3 linked regions of the Elephas maximus indicus genome follow. The protein of the gene in region 2 interacts with the protein of the main gene of each other region in a pairwise test. Links are inferred from orthologs where the notes say so. Each region holds a gene or a part of one and is shown on either strand. Other genes may lie near its edges.

The links. The genes of interacting proteins can lie anywhere in the genome.
Region 1: the proteins of FUNDC1 (region 2) and YES1 interact in binary tests that used the Homo sapiens proteins (3 or more experiments, as listed by UniProt). The two-hybrid records come from large-scale screens. The link is inferred for Elephas maximus indicus from reciprocal best matches to the Homo sapiens genes FUNDC1 and YES1.
Region 3: the proteins of FUNDC1 (region 2) and TUFM interact in binary tests that used the Homo sapiens proteins (3 or more experiments, as listed by UniProt). The two-hybrid records come from large-scale screens. The link is inferred for Elephas maximus indicus from reciprocal best matches to the Homo sapiens genes FUNDC1 and TUFM.

Annotation. Positions count from the first base shown.
Region 1 is NC_064829.1:17,547,230-17,555,105, forward strand, and holds the start of YES1 (tyrosine-protein kinase Yes), read right to left. Parts: upstream 3,211-7,876; 5' UTR 3,075-3,210; intron 3,013-3,074; exon of another isoform or gene 2,705-3,012; intron 1-2,704. UniProt on the Homo sapiens protein: Non-receptor protein tyrosine kinase that is involved in the regulation of cell growth and survival, apoptosis, cell-cell adhesion, cytoskeleton remodeling, and differentiation.
Region 2 is NC_064846.1:128,603,682-128,611,319, forward strand, and holds the start of FUNDC1 (FUN14 domain-containing protein 1), read left to right. Parts: upstream 1-4,290; 5' UTR 4,291-4,435; coding exon 4,436-4,463; intron 4,464-5,091; coding exon 5,092-5,248; intron 5,249-7,638. UniProt on the Homo sapiens protein: Integral mitochondrial outer-membrane protein that mediates the formation of mitochondria-associated endoplasmic reticulum membranes (MAMs).
Region 3 is NC_064830.1:88,835,150-88,843,083, forward strand, and holds the start of TUFM (elongation factor Tu, mitochondrial), read left to right. Parts: upstream 1-4,724; 5' UTR 4,725-4,796; coding exon 4,797-4,839; intron 4,840-4,941; coding exon 4,942-5,136; intron 5,137-5,563; coding exon 5,564-5,730; intron 5,731-5,999; coding exon 6,000-6,104; intron 6,105-6,194; coding exon 6,195-6,359; intron 6,360-6,499; coding exon 6,500-6,632; intron 6,633-6,720; coding exon 6,721-6,825; intron 6,826-6,940; coding exon 6,941-7,092; intron 7,093-7,196; coding exon 7,197-7,316; intron 7,317-7,901; coding exon 7,902-7,934. UniProt on the Homo sapiens protein: GTP hydrolase that promotes the GTP-dependent binding of aminoacyl-tRNA to the A-site of ribosomes during protein biosynthesis. Also plays a role in the regulation of autophagy and innate immunity.

The DNA.
Region 1 (7,876 bases), on a different chromosome or scaffold from region 2:
ACCCTGATATCTTCCCTGAAAATACTAACTACTGTATTAAAGGAAATGAAGCGCAAATTTATTTACATTCCTAAATAGTCACTTAGAAATATTTTTTCAAAATCCTTTAATTGTTACATATCTGGAAGTATGTTAACATTTTCAAGGTAGCTGTATACACTAGCTGGTATGACAATTATGACTTAATCCTACAGTTCAAGGAAGTAATAGGCCACAACTACCACAGCCTCCACTGGACTGAGTCCAGCATGACTAGATGGTGCCCAGCTACCACCTCTGATTACTCTGACAGGGGTCACAGTAGAGGGTCCCAGACAGAGCTGGAGAAATGTACAACAAAATCCTAACTCACAAAAAAAGACCAGTCTTACTGGCCTGAAAAAGACTGGAGAAACCTCAAGAGTATCGCCCCCGGACACCCTTTTTGCTCAGTAATGAAGTGACTCCTGAGGTTCACCTCTCAGCCAAAAGATGGACAGGCCCATAAAACAAAAAGAGACTAAAGCGGCACAACGGCCCTGGGGCAAGGAGTAGAAGGCAGGAGGGGACAGGAAAGCTGGTAATAGGGAACCCAAGGTCCCGAAGGGAGGGTGTTGACATGCTGTGGGGTTGGTAACTGATGTCACAAAACAATGTATGTACTAATTGTTTAATGAGAAGCTAGTTTGTTCTGTAAACTTTCATCTAAAGCACAATAATAAAAAATAAATCAATTCCGTTTGGCAAGGGCAGTCCAGACAGTTACCAAATATTAAGTTCTTAAACAAAGTACCTTAAACAGTACATTATTCACGGTCTTTTTTAATAAAATAATTCTATGGAAAATAAAACTCAGATACGGAGAGGCACACAAAACACATGTATGGCCTAATGAATTATACTAAGGTCAATACCCTTGCAATTGCCACCAGGTTAAGAAATAGAACTTTGCCACCACTCCAGAAATCTGGTCCATGTGTTTGCCCCAATCACAATCTCTGCCCTCCTCTCATATTTGTATTTTTATAGAAATCATTTTCTTCCACTTTTTTTTAAACAGTTTTGTCACCGAAATTTGCTTTCCTAGATGCTACAGTTTTGTACTGCTCTTTAAAACTTTAATATTAAGCTTCTCTGTTAATGCTAATAGGACGTAATGATACCTACACAGAACAGACTCACTAGATTGAGAACTAAATATATTTGTGAACAAAAATCACCCACATTAACAAATTATTCACTGCCTGAAAAGATTCAAATTGGAACTCTGCACGAACAAGTCTTACACCCTGGGTTGCTGATAACTGAGTTTTAAGGGGCCACTGTTGCTCTTTTAGAACACTTATTCTTTTAACATTGCGTATCATGCAGATTTATCTGCAGAGACATTAATATTTCAGGTTGCAAATTTCCTGAATTAAAAAAACTTAAACCATGTATTAATATTATACTTCAGCCATAAGACAAATTCCACCTACCCCAGGAAGATAGTCAAAGCTGTAATTTCACTTTGGTTGAACAGAAAGGAGTCAATTTTGTGGTTTATGAAGTCAGCAAAAACATACTGCAAAATTAAAGCTATAACAACATTATGGTGGTTACAGCAGGGTACATATTTTAAGAGTCCTTTTTTCTTTTATCCCGGAAATAGGGATATGAAGTATCTTGTATTTAGATTCGGATTAAAGGCAATGTATTTTTATTCAAAATTTAGGACCCTCTGAATTGCCAATCAGCATTTAAAATCACTACTGATTTGTAGTTAATGTTCCCAAATTAAAATTCATTTTCTTAAATGTCAATTAAGGCAAAGAGTCTCACACATTTGTTATACACACATAACCATACAGTGGATGAAAATCACATGTGATGCGAGACACTCCATTACCTGTCCGTTCAAAATGTTTACTGCCCTCTGTGTGTCAAGCACTATGCTACTTTAGATATTAGACTCACTATTTACTTTGCCTTAAATACCTACAATCACGTGTGCACATTTAGTAATATTTTCCCTAGTGTATATTTTAACTATAGAAATTTAACAGGATAGTTAAAACACTCAGAATTATCAAACTTCTTCGGCACTGTAACCCTACCGTTACAACGCACAGATACGCCTGTATGGGAAAGCAGACACTAATGTTACATGTAAACGTAATAAATAGCGTGTACACAAACTTGTGCTTCTACCAGGGACTCTTCAACAATTTGTAATTTACTAGACTGTATGCTATTCCATTCCTCTATCAATTAATTTTGCATGAAATAATTCAACCAAATTCGAACTACGTTGTGCCCCACTCCCTACAAAACAAATACTAAAGTAGTCCCTACATCAGACTTGATTTCTGAAGAGCGTTTTAAAACAACTCTGCCTACATGACCAAGGAAGCAAAAGCTGGGAGCAATCACCAAAAAGAAAAACACACTTCACAACCAATTTTCTCCACCACATGTGCGCAGAGAACCGAACCAAACAGGAGGCGGAGAAGCATAACATCGTAGAAGTGGGTCCTGAATGGCATATTTCCTCCCCAACCCCCAACCCAAAACAAAGGGAAACTTTAACATGTCGCGGCTTTCAATCAAACCGAGCGAAGCGGGAGGCTCAGCCACTCGCCCCACACCCTCGCCTTCTCTCCCAGCACGGTCGCCACCCGGTGTCAGCCAACACATAGGTCCCCAACCTTTGGGACGGAAAGGGGTCGCCTGCCTCGTCCCCTACCTGAGTCGTGGGAGCCAAAATAAACCCCGCTTTTTCCCCCCACCTAGCCGAGCAGACCACGACATGAAGCGGGGCCCCCGTCCGAAGCCGCGAGGACCTTCGGTCGGACTCGGGCGGGACGGGGCGGAGACCGCGCCGGGGGCGAGCAGGTAGCCCCGGGAGGGAGACACGCCCGCCGGGGGGAGGGCGCAGCGCCGGGCGAGCCGGGCCGGGGGAGGGGAGAAGTTTCCCCCAACTTCCCGGCCGGGAGCCCGCGGGGGCGGGAAGCGGCGGCGGCGCCTCCGGGCGTGGGCGGACGCCGGGCCTAGCGCTGTCCCGGCCGGGTCGGCCGCCTCCCCTCGCCGCGCCGCGGGGGCCCGCCGGGTCTTACCTGCTCCCGCGCCGCCGTCGCCTGAGTCGCTGCTGCTGCGGCTCGGGGCGGGGAGGAGGGGGCGGCGGGCGGCGGCGGGGCCCGCGGGGCCCTCTCCCTCCTCCAGCCACTCGTCCGGGGCGCCCGGCGGCGGCGGCGGCGGCGGAGCCGGACCCGGACTCGTTCCTTCAGGAGGAGGGAACTCCCGGGCTCCCCGCCCCCGGCCTCGCCCTCCGCCCCCTCCCGGCTCCGCCCCTCCGCTGCTCGCGGGCCGGGCGGGGGTCCGGCTACCTGCGCGCGGCGGGCCGCCTACCGGAACTGGCGCCCAGGGCCCGGCGCGGCGCCCTTTCCGGCCTCGGCGCGCTGCCTGCGCCCCTCGGGGCCCGGCCGCCCTGGCGCGCTCTCCGTCGGCGGCGAGTCCGAGTCACTGATCCCGACCCAACATGGCGGCGGGGTCCGGGGCTGATTCCCGAGGCGGAGCAGGCTGAGGGGCGTGAGGAGGAGGTGCTTCTGCACCCCGAAGAGCGAGCCACAGCGCCCCCTCCCCAGGCGCGCCCCCGGGGGCCTCGGACCGGCCGACCGGGCTGCGGCGGGAGAGTGAACGGGGCGCGGATCCCGCCCCCTTCTGCCCTTCTCTCTCGTTTGCCCCGCTGTGTGAAGGCCGGGGGGCTGTGTTTGTTTTCGGGGGGACGGACGGGTGGAGGGTTTTGTGTCTGTCGGTTGTTTGCTTTGCAGTACTGTGCTTCCACACCCTTTGTCGCTGATAGTGAAATCTCAGCGCAGCCGCGGGAGCCAGGGGGGCGTTACTAACACCATCCTGATCGCCGTCCAAAAACGTTCGAGTCTGGCTTCCATCCGAGGCCGGCAGACTGTCCCTGCCCCGGAGCTTCCTGTTGACTGTAGGTCGACCAGGCGTTCCTGGAGGGGGGCCGAAGCTGACTTCTGTTAGGACTGTCCTAGCAGTGGGGGTTTTCTTATCTGATTCTCACAACAACCCAGTGAGAGAGCTGGGACAGGATATTATTACCCCGTTTGACAGCTGTGGAAACTGAGGCTGCGACCTCGAAATTGGAACAGCCACAACTAGAGTCGTGTCCATCTGAATCCCATCATCTTTGCTCTTTGCCTATAGTCAGTCCCTGGAGGAAACTGGGGAGGACCCAGAAGAAACTGGGATAAAGATAAGGGTTAGTCAAGGTTGGAACGGGCTGCACATTGAAGCTTTTGGGGTCTGGTGCCGCAGTGGTTAAGCGTTCAGCTGCTAACCAAAAAGGTCAGCACTTGGAATCCACCAGCCACTCCTGGGAAACCCTAAAAAGCAGTTCTACCCCGTCATATACAATGGCTGTGAGTCGGAATCCACCCGATGCACCGGGTTTAGCTTGGTTCTGCTGAAATCACTTTTGCCCTGTCACACTCTTAGACTGACTTCCTCTTTGTATTTCCTCTTTGGTGGAATTGTTTAATGTGGGATTGTTGGTTTCCTTTGTGTGTGGTTTTTAGAGAAATTCAAAATCATCTCCAACAAATACCCACGAAACAACACAATGGTAAGTTTCAGAAATCTGGTACTCTAGGAACTTAGGACATGCATCTAAAAATTAAAAAAAAAAAAGTAATTTTTCAGCTCACCAAATGAACCAAAGGTAGGCATAGACACGCACATTAACAAAGAGGTACACATGCTGAAAATTCATTTGCTATTAACTACCTTGAGCACTTTTCTATATGAGCGATCTTTTCTCCTTTCACGTAAATTTATATTCAGGTTTTTGTAAAACTAGAAAATAAATTCCTTGAGCTGTTGCTTTTCTAAACTTCTAAATAAAATCTAGATTAATTTTTTGTCTCTTTTCCTAAACTCTCAGCCTCAAAAAAAATCTGCTCTAAAATAACCAGTTTAGCCCAGTTTAAGGGGTGAGATGGTTTTCAAGCTGTTCTCTATGGGATTGTAAAGACAGGAGAAGGTGTCAAAATCTCTTACTAGATGTTACAGATTATACTGATTTATCCTTGTGTTTTTTTCTTTTATCCCTCATTTTGATTCTTTTTTTATTATCTCATTGCCTTTCTTTTTTGGAATACTCATCATTCAGTGCCAAGCTTCAGTCTAAATAACCTGGAGGCTCATCTATTTCCAGTAATCAAACATTAAGGCAGAGAGAGAATCTGATATAACAGAAATTGCTTTTAACTGAAAATCTTTTACTGGTGAAATGGAGAAATGAAGATGCTCACGCCAATGTTTCCCTCCCGTGCAGGATAAAGGCCTAGTATGTACATATGTCTTTAAGGAGTGTTAAGAGACATAAATCTTTAAATCCATGGGAAAGACTGCTGGATGGAAAAGCTTTAAATAAATAAAACTATCTATTTAAATTTATTTAAGTATGTTAAGTCCCTACAAAAGTGAGAGGTTTTCATTTATTAAGTTCATTAATGCTGAGTTACTTGACTGGCTGGTAGTTCAAAAGATTTGGCGTTTAGCTGGGTGCACTATTACCCTGGAACTTGTTATTCTGCCAGGAAATGCCTTTGTTTAGGGTACTGTTGCTGCTGCCTCCATCACTGAGGCTCAGATGATGATTTTCCGTTCCTGGTAAGAGTAGAAAGCCTGTGGTCCTACATAGGCTACACGTATTGGTCTCTGCTGTTAGAAGCTGTCCCCACTACTACTCTCCCCACATACCTTCCAGGGGACTTGAGCTAACCACTCAAAGACTGGATCTCCTCATGTCCACTCTGCGTCTGAAGTTATCTCACCACCTTAGCGTTGCCTCCTTCATCTGACCAAAACTGCTCCTAGGCCCAATTCAGAAGAATATGAGCACCCCTGTAAGCAAAGATTTCAAGGATCAGGCAAAATGAACGTATTTATCCTTGAGTGTAGGCTCAGTGTGCTAACTTCACAGGAGAAATGTAGTAACACAGCCATTTCTCAGTGCTCTGGGCATCTTCACTGCTTCAGGATTCGGACATTACAGTTTTTATTCCCCCTCAACTGGGAAAAGCTGCCTAAGAGAGCTAAGTCAGTTAATAGATGTCACAAATGGCAATGTTACAGGGGCTTTAGCAAATTCACCCCATCTCACTGCTGCCTTTTGTTGCTCTCCAGCTTTTAACTTTTTTTATTTTTATTTTTTGGCTCGTCTACAATCTTAAAATTTCCCCCTGGCGTGGCATGCCTCCCAGCTCTAGGCCTATCTTCTGGCAGTCTCTCTTTGCTGTTAACATCTACCTTGAGGTCATCTCTTGGTTTATTTCTCAGGCATCAATTCTTTCTTGTTCTCCCTCACTGTTTGGCCCCAGGCCTGTTATAGCTACCAAAGTCCCTAGTACAGGACTAGCTTCTTATACCCACTCTGCCTATTCCTAAGTAACATTACCCACAGCTTTAAACTTTCACACCCTCAACTTGTTTCCTCTTTCTTCTGTGACAGCAATTTCTCAGCTTGATGGGCACTTGGCATCTTCTCACCTAGCAGAATACAGCATGCCACCGACACCTTTTGAAGGTTATCTGTTTAGCCCAAGCTCCTCTTTCCCAAGAATTGACCCTCTAACAATATGTCGTGATCTCAGTAGGGCTAATCCCAGGCTCTAGCCTGGAATTTTGAATTTTGAGAGAGGAACACAAGAGTGACACAGAGTTATGCATGGTGGCTACGGTGGAGAGTCCAGTGGCAGAAGGTGAGTGTCCAGGGTCGGAAAGTCCAGCAGCAGTAGGCAACATGTGTCCAGTGCTGATGGTGTCTGCATCCAAAGCAGGCCATCCCTCTTTCACCCTTGCCTTCCTTGGTTCCTGCCTGAGGTTAGTCCACTAATCTTTCTGATGACTTTTTAAAATTCCTCCAGTAAATTATCTTTATGCATAAATGAAGGAGACACAGTTGCTCTTCTTTGCAGATTGGAACCCCTACAGGTAAAAGGCCACTGCTTAGACTCTATTTCAACTGCTGACAGTAAACTCAGGTGCTGTGAGGGTAGCATCTCCTGATGTCCACGGGGCAGGAGGGCAAGGGGGGAGTCAGTTTTCAGAGTGAGAAGGATGAAGCAGATGCGCAGCAAGCAGCAGTAGGGACCCCAGCTCTACAACTCCAGTTGCCTTGAGCCACATGGAAAAGCCCAAACCTGGAACAGCTGGCAGTCAGTCCCTCCTGCCTGCCCGTGGCAATCATTGCTTTTAGATCGTGGTTATGTCATACACCTTCCCAGAGCACTAACTTCGTCTTCAAAGTCCTTCTCAACACAATGATGCAGGCAGGAGACCCAAAACTGGAGTTAGAATATGTTGAAATCCATTTGCCAACCCCGTTCTGTAATTTCCTCCCAAGATCTTTATTTGCAATTCCTATAGCCATTACCGAGTGTTTGGCCTTTACTTTTCCGATCCATTAAGCTGATGTATAGTCTTAATGTATCAGTGTCTCTGACACTGAGTTTAAATACCACTAAATTTGCTACCAGATTGCTACTTCCTGGAAATTTTTACAAATAGGCTATGAAAAGTAGAATATAGCTTTGTTTGGAGGCAATGTTTACCTACATCAAATGTTTAGAAAAAACTATTAAGCATGCTCTTATCTTTAAGGTTAACTGACAGCATGAAACATGAAGGGTGTGTATTAAGGAAATTTTCTACTATTAGATATTTTGCAAGCTGACACTATGCCTAGGATAAAAAAGTATGTTTAGAATAAATCCATGCTTTTGGGAAAATCTTATTTCAATCTCCTTTTTTAAAGCTAAATCCTTTTTACTTTTTTTGCATTTTTAGTGGTATAGATCATGGTTTTTCACATTTCTGTCTGAACAAATAAAAC
Region 2 (7,638 bases):
CCTGTCATTTGGTGGAAGTTACAAAGACTATGGGCTAGAAGGGCCTTATTAAGTAATTCACTGCACTGCAAAAGGACAGAGCTGGAATTTGAACTCAGGTCTGGCTGACCTGAAAGTTCATCCAAATGCTTAATTGAAATGCAAACTGCCTTCTTTAAATTCAACTAAGGATGATAATGAGAGGGAGGTCTTTGGGGGAAGTAGAGAAAAACTGTATGGAAGTTACTTTTAAGATGTGTCTTAAAGGGTGTTTGAGTATTTGCCTAGTAGAGAAGGAAGCTATTACTTTCAGGTGGAGGAAAGAGCATGCACCAAGTCAGGGAAGTTGGAAAAAGCAAAGTGTATTCAGAAAACTTAGTTCTTCAGTGGACCTAGAAAAGGAGGAAATTTGGAGCAAGCTGCATTGGGAGGCCAGAGAGGTAACTCGGGTCCAAAATGTGGAGGGTCCTATATGCCAGTGGTCAGTAGACTAGGATGTGCAGGCCAAATTAGCCCATGAGCTAAGAATAGTTTTTACACGTTTAAAGCAGGGCTTTGAACAGGTTCTTCCTGGTTCAATCATGACTGAGGAAATGACACTGGAACAGACCTAAATTTTTTAAAATTCGAGTGAACCAGAACCGTAACAGGAGCTGGGAAAATTACAAGTTGAAACCCTACTAGAAAGTTAATCTCCCTCTTGGAAAACAAGGGCAGCATACACATTGCATAACAACCAAATCTCTTGCCTATTGGATTTTGCGCGGAGTTGGAAACAGTGGTACCCCAATCAAAGATGGTGGCCTACCTCACTGCTTTGAATGTGTGTCGCTCTTCTCGGTCCTGGCAATAACCCAATCTCACACATCAGGCTCCTGAAAGGGCTCACTACACCTCTTCCGAGTCTCCCATTCCAGGGCTTCGATCCAAAATTTTTCCCATTCTGGTTATGATTACGGATCACCCAGATTTTTAAAAATTTGGTTCTGTTTCGGTTTTGCTTCATTGGCCATGACTGAACTGGTTCGAAGCCCTGGTTTAAAAGACTGTTTACAAAAGAAAAAGAAGACTATACCACAAACACCATTATGTGGCCAGCAGAGCCTAAAATATATTTACTATCCGACTCTTTACAGAAGTAGTTTGCCGACTTCTGCAGTATGTCATAAGAAGTTTAGGCTTAATGTTGTAACCAATGGGCAACTTTTACAAGTATTCAAGAAGAGAAAGAACAAGATCAGATGCAGGTTTTAGAAGAAAAATTCTGATGAAGAGTAGACTGGATTGGGGTGGGGTGGGGAGAAGCAAGAAAAGGAGGAAGGAGCCAATTGAGAGGCCATTGCAGTGGTCCAACGGGTGGGCTGACCATCAGGGAGAGAAAGGATGTCACAGTTTTGGTGGTGCAAGCATAGGATAAGTGACTGTGTAACTGTGGGAGAAAAGGGAGGGGAAAAGGAGGTGACTAATTTTTCTCCTTTGGGGAGCTTCAAAGATAGAGTGAAGTTGTTTGAATTTGCAGGTCATTGAAATGTGGACATCTAATAGGGAATAACAGTTGTAGCCAATGGGGGACATGAGATTGCTCAGGGAGTGTGAAGTGTTCTTCTGTTTGTTCTGCAACTTTTTGCTTTTCTCCATTCTGACTAAACAGTTTTTAACAAGTGAGGTTTCCAAGGAATGAGAAGTTAAGGAAAGGTGAAGCTCAGGATGGAATAGGGGACAACAGCTTCTTTAAAGATTCGTTATGGATGAAATAGTAAATGTTCTCAATTTCAAATAGTTATTCATAAACTTTTGGGACTCTATCCATTGGAAAGTTGGGGACTGTCTGAATTATGTTTTGGTAGAGTTGTAGATGATACCAGTGCTCATAATGAAAATGTTTATTAGTGTTGACTGAAAAGAAAAATTATTTACACTATTTAAAATGGAAATTAATAATAAATAAATAAATAAAATGGGAATTATAAAAAAAAAAAAAACACACATCACCCCCTAGAGAACATCAGGTTGATCACAGCACTTCGGAAAGTCTGTGTATATAATTTAGGTACACATTAAACCACTCTTCATTCAGACAACAAAATGACAGCTTTTTTGCTGTTGGGAAAGAGAAAATCCACACTAGAAAAATACATTATAAGGTGGTCCTTGATTTACAACAGGGTTCTGTTCTGACACGAGTCAGTTCTGACGTAAGTCAAATACTTCATTTTTTTTTGAAATTTTCATTATTATTGCCTTTTATTATCAGTATCTTTAAAAATCCAGTCTTTGTCTCTGGGGGTTGGAAACATTACATATAAACTTACAGATATATTTTAATACACACATACATAAAAAATACACAAATCATAAAAATTTTCTCCAAAGATGAAGAAGAGTTGGACGATGTTGGCATTTTGTCAGTTGCGGTAATAACTCCACTTTTGGAAAGTTCTGTGTCTTCTGAATTATCCCTGGGAATTGGGATAGTGTTTCTAATCAGAAAATTAGTAAGAGTTGTCTGTATGGTCCTTTTCTTTTTTTCTTCATATATTTCCTGGTAACATCTCACTGCTTCCTGAATCTGCCTATTGACTCTAGCAAAGTGATCAGCGTTTGGGTCCATGTTTTCAAGCAACCCAAACCCCTGATTTAGTTTAGAAAACTAAATCTATACAGCAGTGTTTTGAAGAGTTAATCATAAAATTGAACATCTTAGAGTGAACATCTGAGAATGATATCATCAGCACATATTACTAAGAATAAGATGTACAAAAAAAAAAGGACTGTCAGAAGTGCAATTAGTGGTAACTGGAATACATCTTAAGTTGGGGACTACCTGTACAACTAACTTCCTTAATGCAATGGCAAAGGCGTATCACTAAAGATGGAAGGGAAGAACATATTAAAAATTTTCTTTTCAGCCATCAAGGTCTTTGCAGAAATGATTGATTTTTAATTCACTTTTGGATACATTTAAGGTTTATTCTTTGGCATCCTAAGAGCAGCATTTTGTTTCTATTATCTCCCTTATTTCTCCATAGCCATTTGACTCTAAAAGTCATTTCCTTGACATGAAAGTGACTTCTTTCTGCAGTTGGCAGATATTGTGAAAGTGTCACTTGGATGTCATTGGCTCAGTCAACCCTCCATTTTGCTCTTCCAATTTATGATACTCCTTTCCCTTTTTTCTCCATTCTCTTCTTTTAACCCACCCAACTCTTCTTTTAGTAGCCCATTATTTGGCTATTTCTCTGTTAGTACCTTAACAGGAATGGGTGGATAATGGCGAGGAAGGAGCGTATGAACTCAAAATCAGTAACTTTTGGAAAAACACTTCAGTGAGAAGATGTGGAGTTATGCCCCCTAAAATCTTTGTTTCTGAAAAGTGGAGTCTTACACAAAGAAACCGGCCTTTGAGTTTGGAACACCCACTCCGGACAGCCTTAGAATTGCATTTTGGAGGCCACAGGCTTAGGATCATTACAGAACTAACTTTTGCATTTAAAGGGCCAGGATTTGAAATTGAGCCAAGCTCAATTATGCAAGTCAATATTTTAAGTAATTCAATCTACATCAGGATTCCTTGATTTTTCATTAAAACTAATATTGAGGGGCCTCATTTAATCGTACAGCAAATGCGGATGTAATGCAAGTTCAAAAGAAGTTTGGGGGCTGGTATATTTGTGAACTTGAGTTAGCTGCTTGGTGATCAACGTGGTTCTTCATTCTACAGAATCACTTGGGGCTTCTGGGTAAAGAAACTTGACCCTCATTCCTGTTAGATTTAAATAATAAAAAATCATAATGATACAAAGTTATGTCCTCTTGAGTAACTGGTGTCAGGCCACTTCCTAGCCCTTCTGCTGCCTCCCTTGAGCGCCTGGCAAGGAACACGTGCAGAGAAAATGGATAAAAAGGTTCCAATTCTCCGCAATAGCACGTTAGAAATAATTTCAATCGGTTGGTGAGCTCTTGCCTCCTTAGAAAAGTGTGGTTTCAAACAGGGCTTCTGTTATCTCTTTATAAAAGCCCTTTTCCCCAATGGCTTGAATTCTGGTAGTGTTCAAATGCCCAGCTGGTTTTGCGCTCTAAACCACGAGAGACCTTCCTACCTCCCCACCCCGCCACCCCAAACACTGAGGCTCTTTAAAACAAAACTAGGGTTAAGGAAATTCCGGAGGGGTGGAGGTGGGAAGGCGAGGCCAGTGGTGCAGACGTCAACGGACTACAATTTCCACAAGTCCTCGCGGGGGCTGCTCGCTGCCCTCCCCTCCCGACCCGTGAGACTTGCGCTTGCGCAGGAGGCCCCGCGCTGGAGGGGGAGGGGGCGGGGACTGGACGTGGCGCCTGAAGAGAAGGAGGAGGAAGAAAGAGAGCATAGACTTTCGCACCGGCCTAGAGCGGCCCTCAAAGTGTAAAAGAGAGGAGGGTGGGCGGGGACCACCCTCAACAGGCCCCCAGCGGAATCATGGCGACCCGGAACCCCCCTCCCCAAGGTGAGCGGTCCGGGCGCGGCTCACAGCTCCTGACCTTGCTCCGGGGGCGGCTTTACCTTCCCCTTCCCCAGGGTCTCTGGGGCTCTGTTTTTTCTTTGAGGCCGCCCGTTTAATACCCCCTCTGAGCTAGACTTCGTCCTCCCCTCTTGGTGGAGCGCTGGGGGAGAGCGACCCTCGCCCCCAAAGTAGCCCCACCCCTTGTCTGTCTTTTCAACCCCGGCCCCTCATCTTCAAACGGTTTTTTAGTCTGACTCTGGAGTGATTTCTTCTCTCCGGCTCCTGACCGATTCTTTGAGAGGAGAACCCCCCTCTTCTCACTGAAAATGGACCTTTCTCTGCTCCTTACCCTACTGAGATTTGGGTAGGTGGCCCCTCACTGCTGTGTAACTCTGATCTGACTGGCTTCGTGCCCCTGGCTGGTCCTTGGGCCTTTAGGAAGGAGATGGGCATATTATTTCTAGCCCCTTTTACTCTTGAAGTCCTAATAACACTCATCAGTTTCCGCCTGGACGTTTTTACCTGTAGGCCAAAAGTAACAGTGAATTGTAACATTAAAAAAAAAATGAAGGAACATTTATGACTTTAGATTGACTCTAAATTAATTTTTTTCTGTTTTTGTATTTTGAAGAGTATGAAAGTGATGACGAGTCTTACGAAGTGTTGGATTTAACCGAGTACGCAAGAAGACACCACTGGTGGAATCGAGTGTTTGGCCACAGTTCGGGACCTATGGTAGAAAAATACTCAGTAGCCACTCAGATTGTAATGGGTGGAGTGACTGGCTGGTGAGAAGAACATCTTTTTCATTAAATTCATTAGGAGCCTGGCCTCTGCCCTTTTGTAGGTGGGCCAGACTCAATACATATTGAGTGGGTTTACACTGTTAATCCTAAAATAGCACAGTTTTGAAGCTTTTCTCTGATATGATTGGTGTAATCTACGCTCAGACTCAGTGTTGGTTTTGATAATTCCCCTCCGTCATGCCTGCCAGGGTACCACTATTCCCTCCTCATCCTTCCTTTGATTTTTTTAATATAGATTCCTCTTTCTGAAGTTCAGCATATGTAGTGGATCTGACTCCGTAATAGTGAGTAAATAGAAAAAAATATTTAAGAGTTAACTTTATGTAAATGGAGCCCTGGTGGCACAGTGGTCAGGTGTTCAGGCTGCTAAACAAAAGGTCAGCAGTTCGAATCCAGCCACTCCTTGGAAACCCTGTGGAGCAGTTCTGCTCTGTCCTGTAGGGTCACTATGAGTCAGAATCGACTCAACGGCAACGGTTTGGTGTTTGGTTTGGCATGTGTAAATAATTTTTACATGTCACCCAGTGGTAACAACTGGAACAACCTGTGAGAAACTCACACAGTAGAACTGGTCTCCCGGATTGTCAGTGCTATAGGGAGCTGTGTAAAATCCTCATTAAGAATGGTTGATGATGATACAGATGGTTCTGTTCATTTTTGTGGGCTGGTTCTGATTATACCAGTGCTTTGAAGAGGAGCTGTAGAATGGTGGTTCTGTGTTGGAATTAAAGGGCTGGCTGCTTCCCTTCTAATATTGTGAAGTACGTTAAGGGGGAGCAGTTAATAGGCATTAGCCTAATCAGTTAACAATTTCGGACCACATGATTACGTAATTGCTGCTATGGATCTACTTTGGTTATTCCTGGAATAAAAGATTGGCCAAGTAACATGGATTAGAAACAAGTCTGACACTTTATTTTGAAAATGTACATGACTGTAGAGAATTTTTGTAGTGAGGGTACTTACAAATAATGGCTTTTTTCTTAGATTCTAAGTTAAATTTATCTTGCATTAATTTAAATATACTTGGTAAGTATAACTTTTTTTTTGATTTGTGTTTTTCATGCACTTTGAACAGTGGCACACTCCTCCATGCCTTTTTAAAAATGCCATTTTATGGGAAGATTCTGTAATGGAAAGGTGCAGTATTTATTAAGTGTATTTGTTAATGCGGCTGTATGAAAAAAAGCCCACAGTTAGAAGAGAGATGTCTGTTCGTGGCCTTGGTCATTCAAACAATTCTCCACAGGCTGGTTGTACTTTGATCCCCTAATTTAGGGTCTGGTCCTCTCTTTATATAAGCTCACAATTTGGTGCCATAGATGACTGGTTAAAGTGAGTCAGGGCCTAATGTCCAATCTTAAAAAAAGAGGCTAAGAAATAATTGAGAAACAGAATTATCAAATCACTATTTGTAGGCCTCATAATTGGCAGATGTTTGCTTGGAGAGCCTAGAGACAGAGCAGGGGGAGTTAGTAGGTTCATTTTAGCAGCTGATGCCATCATACACATGGTTGTGGAGCATGCTGTCCAGGATATCGTTGACACCGGAGACCTGGCTGCTGTTTGCTTCTTCCTCTTCCTTTTCTGAGCATTTGATGCTGCCCCCCCTTACTGAGGGATATGTTTTTTATAGTAATACATACATTTGAGTTATAGCCAGGTGGTAGCCCAGGAGCTGTGTGCAGTAGGACTCTAATATTATACAATGATTTGTTGCAATGACTATAGATTCAGTGTAGCAAATTTTTGCAATTTTCTAAGGGAGTGAAACTGATGTAATAATTTGTGTCATACATTAAAGAGGAAAGGTTAATAAGCACTAACCAGTTAACAATTCAGACCAATTCAGGACATGTATGGGAGGCTAAAGAGATTATATTTAGCTGTAGGTAGCTATAGGTTTTGGAGCATAGTGAAAATAAAACTGACATCAAGATGGGTGGTTGCTAGGAGAGACTGGAGCTCAGGGGAAGACCAGTTAGAGTGGTCTGGAAGCAAGGTAATAGATGCCTGATCCATTAGCAAGGTAATGATGCTCTCAAGAGCAGAAAGGAGACAGGGTCAAGTAATGTTATAGAGATAGAGTATATAGAACTTGGCAAACAGTTGGACCAAGGAGAGGATGGAGAAGGCTGAGTCTGAGATGAATATGAGATAGCAAGCCTGGAGAATGGTGCTGTCGCTTACAAGTTGGGGCCTTAGCAACAGTTGGTTTGGGTAGAAAAGTGATGCTTGCTTTGGGACATTTTGAATGTGTGGTTCTGGGTGCTAGAGAAGTCCAGAATGTAATTGGAAAATGTAAATTTACCATTTAGGAGGGCTAGACTTAGAAATCTGGGATTCTTTTGCATACTGTTGTTGTGTGCCAT
Region 3 (7,934 bases), on a different chromosome or scaffold from region 2:
TGCGAACATTTGCAGAGGTCTACCGCAGCCAGGCACCAGGGACACAGAGATAGATAAATGATGCTTGGTCCTGGCCCTACTCAAGGCACTCATAGTCTCAGGCAAGTAAAACCAAGAACTCTGTCTCAGGATACCAACTGCTATAAGAGAGAGTATCTGTTAGGATGGATTTGGCTGTAAAGAACAGACAACTCTGGCACAGCCTGGCTTAAACAGAAATGACATTCATCATCTAATAACACAAGGAGTCCATTTTCTAAGATCCTCTTCGCTTTGTTCTCCTCTTGGTTCTGGCCTCATCACCAAACTGGGAACAAGATGGCCACAGAAGTTTCACGCTTCCCATCCAGATCCAGCAACATCCAGTCAGAAAGAGGTATTCCTCTTCCAGCATCTCCTTAAGAGGAATTATTTCCCAGAAGCCCTCTTCCCCCTGCCCCAAGCAGATCTCCTCATACCAATCACTGGTTCCAAAGGAGTCACAAACTCAACCCCACACAAATCCCCTGGCAAGAACAGGACCACCAGAATTTACGCCTGGAGCTGGGGAAGGGGCCACCCTGAACAAAATCAGGGCCCTGCGTTCAGGAAGATGGCAAAACCACTGTCAGGTAGGAACTAAAGGTGTCTGCCCAACAGCAGACTGAATGGACAGCTGGAGAGGTGCGGAGGGGAGGACCTGGAAGGTCATTTGATTTCAGGAACACCTTTTTTAGAGTTCAAGATTCTTCACAAAGAATTCTCCTTTAACTCCAGTCACACAAAATATGAAAAATCTCCTCCTCCAAGCAAATTCACAGCCTTCTAAAGTCACATTGTTTTCAACTTCCTTTGTTCCTACCCCTTCACCCCCGACCTTGTACGCAGGCTATTTTTCTGTAGTAGGTTCCCATGGAGTAGCTCCTTCCTTCTTCCTTGCTCCGTAACATTGGTCACAAACATTTTCACAGGTGGCTGGCTCCCCCATCTCTGCAACACTGAGCCTACCCCATTAATATCTCACCTAGTGGCTATGCCACAGTTCATGCCACCATATTCACATACTGGACATTCGTGTCTATCCCACTCTTTGACTACAATATTTGTGACAGGTGTGGCTGGACTTTTTTTTTCTTAAATAATGTTTTATTATGTTTTAAGTGAAAGACTACACAGCAAACGAGGTTCCCCTTTAACAATTTTTATACTTATTGTTCTGTGTGGTTACAATTTTCACAAAGTGTCAGCAACCTCATTATCTCCCTTCTGTTTGTTCTGTTTCCATTGATCTAGCTTCTCTTCCCCTCCTTGCCTTCTCATCTTTGCTTTTTGGTAAATGTTGACCATTTGGTCTCATAGGGTTAATTGTTTAAGGCAGCACATTACTCATGGGTGATATTCTTTATTTAATAAGCCAATGTATTATTTGGCTGAAAGGTGCCCAGCAAAAATTGATTCAGTTTCAAGTTCAAAGGGTATCTTAGGGTGATAGTCTCAGGGGTTCCTCTCATCACTATAGATTCAGTAAGTCTGGCCTTTTTTGGGAATTTGAATTTTGTTCTACATTTTTCCCCCATTCTATCAGGCACCTTCTATTGTGTCCCTGGTCGGAATGGTCTGTAGTGGTAGTTGGGCACTATCTAGTTCTTCTGGTCTCAGGCTAGAAGAGGCCGTGGTTCATGTGGGCTGGACATCTTTTTATTGTTGTTGAGAATATATACAGCAGAACATAAACCAATTCAACAATTTCTCCATGTACAATTCAGTGACTGATCACATTTTTCAAGGTGTATAACCATTCTCAGCCTCCTTTTCTGAATTGTTCCTCCCCATTAACAAACTCACTGCCCCCTGAGTTTCCTATCTTTCAAATTACTGTTGTCAATTTGATTCTATGTAGACAGTTCTTAAAAGAGCAAAATGCTGAAGGCAGATATTCTTTACTAAATAAGCTGAACTAATGTTTGGTTTAAAGAATATTTCAGGGGATATTTTTGGTTTAAGGTTTAAAGATCTCAGGGCAATAATGTCAGGGGTTCATCCAGCCTCCATGACTCCAGAAAGTCTGGATTCCATGAGAATGTGAAATCTGTCCTGCATTTCCTCCCTTTTGTTCAGGATTCTTCTATAGAATCTTTGATCAAAATGTTCAGTAACGGTATGGTGGGCATCTTTTAGACTTTCTACATTTGGAGAAATTCCTTGCAATCAGCCCTGCCTCTCCAATATCAAAGACTACATCTCAGCCTCCTCTGATACAAGAACCTTGACATATGATCTAGGCTTCTTCTATCAGACATATCCATGTGAGACTTTGAATTTGCCTGGCTTTGGGGGCAGAGGGATGATCACTTTGATGATGCAAACATGGCTTCAGTGTTTCCAGCAATAGCTGCTGCAGACAAGTCTAAGTCCTGGCACTTCGTGTTTGGTGGCAGTGACAGCAGCAGCAGTTTTCTTATTTGTCAGTCCTATGGCTTGGGAGTATCTCTCTAGTCCTCCCCACAAATCTGTAAGCTGCCCAATACTCTCTAATAAATCCCTCCCCTGCTTAAACCAGTCAATGTAAATTATCTGTAAATCAAGATTCCTGACTGATCGATTTACTATTACAGAATATGCTACACTCAACAGCGCCACAAAAGTTTTTCTTCCTTTGGACCCTCTTCTTAGCACTGTTTCTCAAACCTCAGTCATTTACGTATCACTGAACCACTTGTGTAGAAATTGTTGAATGGGAGCCTAAAGTGCTAGGTGAACCTTCACTGAAAACTCAATATTTAAAAAAATCAATCAGTAAATACACTTATGATAGAAATAACATACATAGACAATGACAGAAAACATAGCAGAGGTTGCCTGAGGGCTGGTGTGGGGGTGAGAAATCGGGGGCTGAGAGAGGGATTACAGTGCATCATGAGGAAATGTTTGGGGGAGAGTGATAGACATGTTCATTATTTTGATTGTTGTGATGGTTTTGTGGCTCAAAAACACGTCAAAACGTACCAAATTGGACAATATGTGCCATTTACTGTAAGTTACACTTCATTAAAGTTGCTAAAAAGTAATAAATAAATACAGTACCACTAGCATAGAAACCATTAGTTCATATGTCACCCAAAAAAACTCCCACCCCCACCAGTGGCTGATAGTATTTCAGGATAAATTCCCAGGAGCGGAGTGACTGAGGGGCACAGAAAAGACAAAGAAAACATTTCCATACTTATACCAGCCCTTTTTAGGCAGAAATGATGGGTTGGAGGGCCAGAAAGACGCAAGTTCCTCACTTTATCTGAGCAATCTGTAAAATAATACATAATTTAATGTATTAAATAATAGTACAGTGCAGTGCTTAAGAGCACATGTTTTTAGGGCTTTTGAGGTTTGGGGGGGTTAATCTTCATCTCCCTGATTCTCAGTTTTCTCACCTGTAAAATGGGGAAAATAACAGATCTGACCACACATCAGGTAACACTGGGAACACTGATTGTGAATCAATATAGAACATTTGCACAACGTTTGATACATAAAAAGCTCTAGTTCAGACTCCTTTCCCAAACTCCTTTCAGCTGAAGGAGGAGGGCAAGGTGTTTGTTACACCCTGTGCCCAGACTCCACTGAATCATAATCTCCAAGGGAGCAATCAGGGAATCGATTTGAAACAAGTGCTGTCTATTGAGTCGTAGGTTCGGGTAAGTTTTGGAAACGTTAATCAGGATCAGGGTTGCTACGAGTCAGAATAGACTCGACAGCAGTGGGTTTGGTTTTTTGGTTTTATTATTTCAGGCTGATGTCGGATGCTGCGATGAGATGATGGATGTGAGAGCTAAAGGTTATTTACTACTCTTTCAGTCAGTCAGTCAGTCAACAGACATTTATTGAGCACTCACTATGTGCCCTGCCCTATGTTGGGTGCTAGGGACACTTCCAGGAACAAGATTCAGGCTGGTCCCTCATCCTCGATGTTATCTGTAAAATGAGGTGGGGGCGGGGGTGGGGGAGGAGAGAGACAAGGGAATTTCCCCCTGGGCCGCAGAAGGGGCTACAGGAGTAGACGACAGAGCCTTGTCTTAGGACTCCGACCCTATGAGGTCAGCCAGTACAGAACCGGGGGTGCGGTGGGGACAGATATTTGAGGGGCAGGGACTGTTCCAGCTGGAAGTCCCAAGACCCCATCCCTGACTTCAGCGTAGCTCATTTCCTCTCAGGTCCAGATGTCAGAATCTCCCTATTAAATGGATACTATTATTCCCATTTTACAGATAAGAAAACAAAGGCTCAGCGGAGAGATGGGTCACACTGGAGCCCCTGCCCCGAAAGGCGTCCAGGACCTGGTCCTACCTCCATTGCGGCTCGAAGGCCGCGAGAACCGCGCAGTGGGTCGGAATCCAGGGGATCCGGGACCTCTCTGCGCCGGGCCCGGGACTTTCTTGAGTAGTCCGCACCCAGGCCGCCTCTACACCCTCTGGACCCGGCGCGGACCTACCTGACTTCCACCCTAAACCCTCCGCCTTGGAAAATGCAAGGCCCACCGGTGCCACCTGAGAAAAGAACATAGCCCGTCAGGCGGCTAGACCCGATCGCATCGCGGAAACCTCCACCCTTCCCCTCCCGGAGACACCTGCACTTTTCCCGACGTCCTCTGCCTTGTGTCCGGAAGTCGGCGGAGAAAGCAGTGGAAACTGGTGGCTAGAGGCGCCCGGACTCGCCTTCTCGGCCCTCACTTCCGCCGGAAGTGACTTCAGCAGTAAGTGTCCTTTGGCTGTTGCACGCGCGGGTTGCCGCTACGCGGTACGCGGGGCGCCTGCACCACCATAATGGCGGCCACGACCCTGCTGCGCGCGACGCCCCGCTTCTGCGGTGAGGGGGCAGGGAGGGCGGTGGCAGCCTGGGGACCCGTAGGGTGCTCCGGGGGTGGCCGGGCTCGAATCCGCGTCCTGACTCCAAGCCTCTGTCCCGCAGGTCTCGGCGCCGGCCCGACTTCACTACTGCAGGGCCTGTTGTGGCCGCCAAAGGCCCCGGCACTGCCCCTCTTGTGTCGAGGCTTGGCAGTGGAGGCCAAGAAGGTCTATGTCCGCGATAGGCCCCATGTGAACGTGGGTACCATCGGCCATGTGGACCACGGCAAGACCACGCTGACAGCGGCCATCACCAAGAGTGAGCGGGCATGGGCTGGGGGCGTCCGGTAGTGCCCGATCTAGAGACAGGACCTGGAGCCAGGAAACTGGGCCCCTGAGCGGCTGCTGGACGTGTTTCGTGTGGCCTTGGGAACCAGAACTCGGGCAGGCGGTAGAGTGGAAGATGCAGATTTCCCTTTAACCTGAAGAACTTTTTGATGCATGAATTGGGGGACCCTGAACTGCCTCCCCCTGGAGAATTCGCAGGGCTGGACCTTGAGGACTGTAATAGCCCTTTCTGATGCAAAGTTAGCTCTGCTGGAGAAATCGGAGATTGGAGGGAGAGGGATTACAGAATTTTTATCCTCCCAGACTCATTCGTTTAGGTGGGAGGGGCTCAGGGGTGTGGCCTGAGCCCTGCCCGTAGCCTTGGAAGTTTAGCTGAGAGGTGTGTCTCTTCCCTCCAGTTCTAGAGGAGGGCGGCGGGGCCAAGTTTAAGAAGTATGAAGAGATTGACAATGCTCCGGAAGAGCGAGCTCGGGGTATCACAATCAACGCAGCCCATGTGGAGTATAGCACTGCCGCCCGCCACTATGCCCACACAGACTGCCCAGGCCACGCAGATTACATTAAGGTGAGAGAGTTACTGAGGACCTCTGGGGAGAGGACCAGGAGCTGCCTTCTGTCAGGATAAATGGTGGGCATAAGGAGAGAAGGTTATGATACTGAGATGTAGGTATTTGAGACTATGGATTTGTGGCCATGATGACTCAAAGTTGGGGGGTGAGGAGATGGAAGGGAAATGTGAGCCTCAGTTCTCAATTGCTGTGCTTGGTCAGATGGATATGGAGCCGAGGAGGCCACTGAACTTGGCTGAGTGTTTCCTCTCCTCCCCCAACCCAGAATATGATCACAGGCGCCGCTCCCCTCGATGGCTGTATCCTGGTGGTGGCAGCCGATGACGGCCCCATGCCCCAGACCCGAGAGCACTTATTACTGGCCAAACAGGTACTCAAGAGCTCAGGTGGGGTGCAAAGGGGAAGAGTGGCCGTTGGGCCACTCTGGACACCATCCCTTGTTATCTTTCTCCATCTACAGATCGGGGTAGAGTACATTGTGGTGTATGTGAACAAGGCAGATGCTGTCCAGGACTCTGAGACGGTGGAGCTAGTTGAGCTGGAAATCCGGGAACTGCTCACTGAGTTTGGCTACAAAGGGGAGGAGGCCCCAGTTATTGTAGGCTCTGCTCTCTGTGCCCTTGAGGTGAGGATAGGGACAGTAGGGGGCTGCTGGCAGAGGATGAGGCTGGATGGGCAGGCAGAGCTCTGCTCTGAGTCCAGAGAGTGATGCTTGGTAAGAGGAGCAGAGTGGATTTTTAAGAGTCCTGTCAATTCCCTTCACAGCAACGTGACCCTGAGCTAGGCCTAAAGTCAGTGCAGAAGTTGCTGGATGCTGTGGACACTTACATCCCAGTGCCCATTCGAGACCTGGAGAAGCCTTTCCTCATGCCTGTAGAATCTATTTACTCTGTCCCTGGTGAGGACCAGACCATGCTTGTTTGTACCCTCTACCCCAGCAATAGCTTAGCCGAGCGTCCCTGATGTCCTTTCCGGCTCCTTTTCAGGCCGGGGCACGGTGGTAACAGGTACGCTGGAGCGTGGCATTTTGAAAAAGGGAGACGAGTGTGAGTTCCTGGGACATAACAAGAACATTCGCACTGTGGTGACAGGTATAGGAAGCCTTGGGACCCAGGAGCTGACCTTTCACCTTGTGAATTCCTCGTGCTTTCTCCTCTAACCCAGGTACTCCTCCTTGTCCCTTTTGCCTCCTTTCTTCTTTTCTAGGCATTGAGATGTTCCACAAGAGCCTGGAAAGGGCAGAGGCAGGCGATAATCTTGGAGCCCTGCTCCGAGGCTTGAAGCGTGAGGACCTGAGGCGTGGCCTGGTCATGGCTAAGCCAGGTTCCATCCAGCCCCACCAGAAGGTGGAGGCCCAGGTGAGGGCTCCAGCTGATGGTGGGCAGGGCTAAGCCACACTGTCCCCTGCATGGAAGCAGTGCTTCTAGTCAAGTCCAGCTGCACCTTCATTGCTCTCCTACAGGTTTACATCCTCAGCAAGGAGGAGGGTGGCCGCCACAAGCCTTTTGTATCCCACTTCATGCCTGTCATGTTCTCCCTGACTTGGGACATGGCCTGTCGTGTCATCTTGCCCCCAGGGAAGGTATGTGGGTATAGGGAAGTGTGAAGGAGTGACACCAGCTCTGCCTCATTCATAGTTCAAAAGATACAATGTGACAACTAGGGTGACTTGATTGCTGTGGATCAGCCAGAGGCTGACTGTTGATATAGGTGAAAGTAGATGGGAGGGTCTAGACTAGTGGATCTAGAGGAACTGAGTCCTCACCCAGTGTGCCCTAGGCTGAAGTAGGTTAAAAGCTAGCTATACCAGCATTTATCTCCAGAAAGATTTCCTAGGAAAGAACCCTCTTGTTATTTAAGTTTCACAGTATATGAGGGCTCAGAGAAGTCCTGCAACTAAGAAACCTGTATAACCCAAAATTTCCTAGACTTTTTTTTCCAAGAATATACCTTGGAAACACTGGTATCATTTGTCCCATTCATTCTTTTTGTCTTTGCACATGCTGTTGAGTTTGCCTGACAGCTGGAATGAAGCTGTCCCTTGACAGAATCATCACCCTGATGTATTCTTCTGGGTTTCTCAACCTCCACAGTAGCCACCAGTTACTGAATGAAGGCAAGGCACACTGAAGTTGACAGGTGACATTATCTCTGTGTCTCCCTCCAGGAGCTTGCCATGCCCGGGGAGAACCTGAAGTTT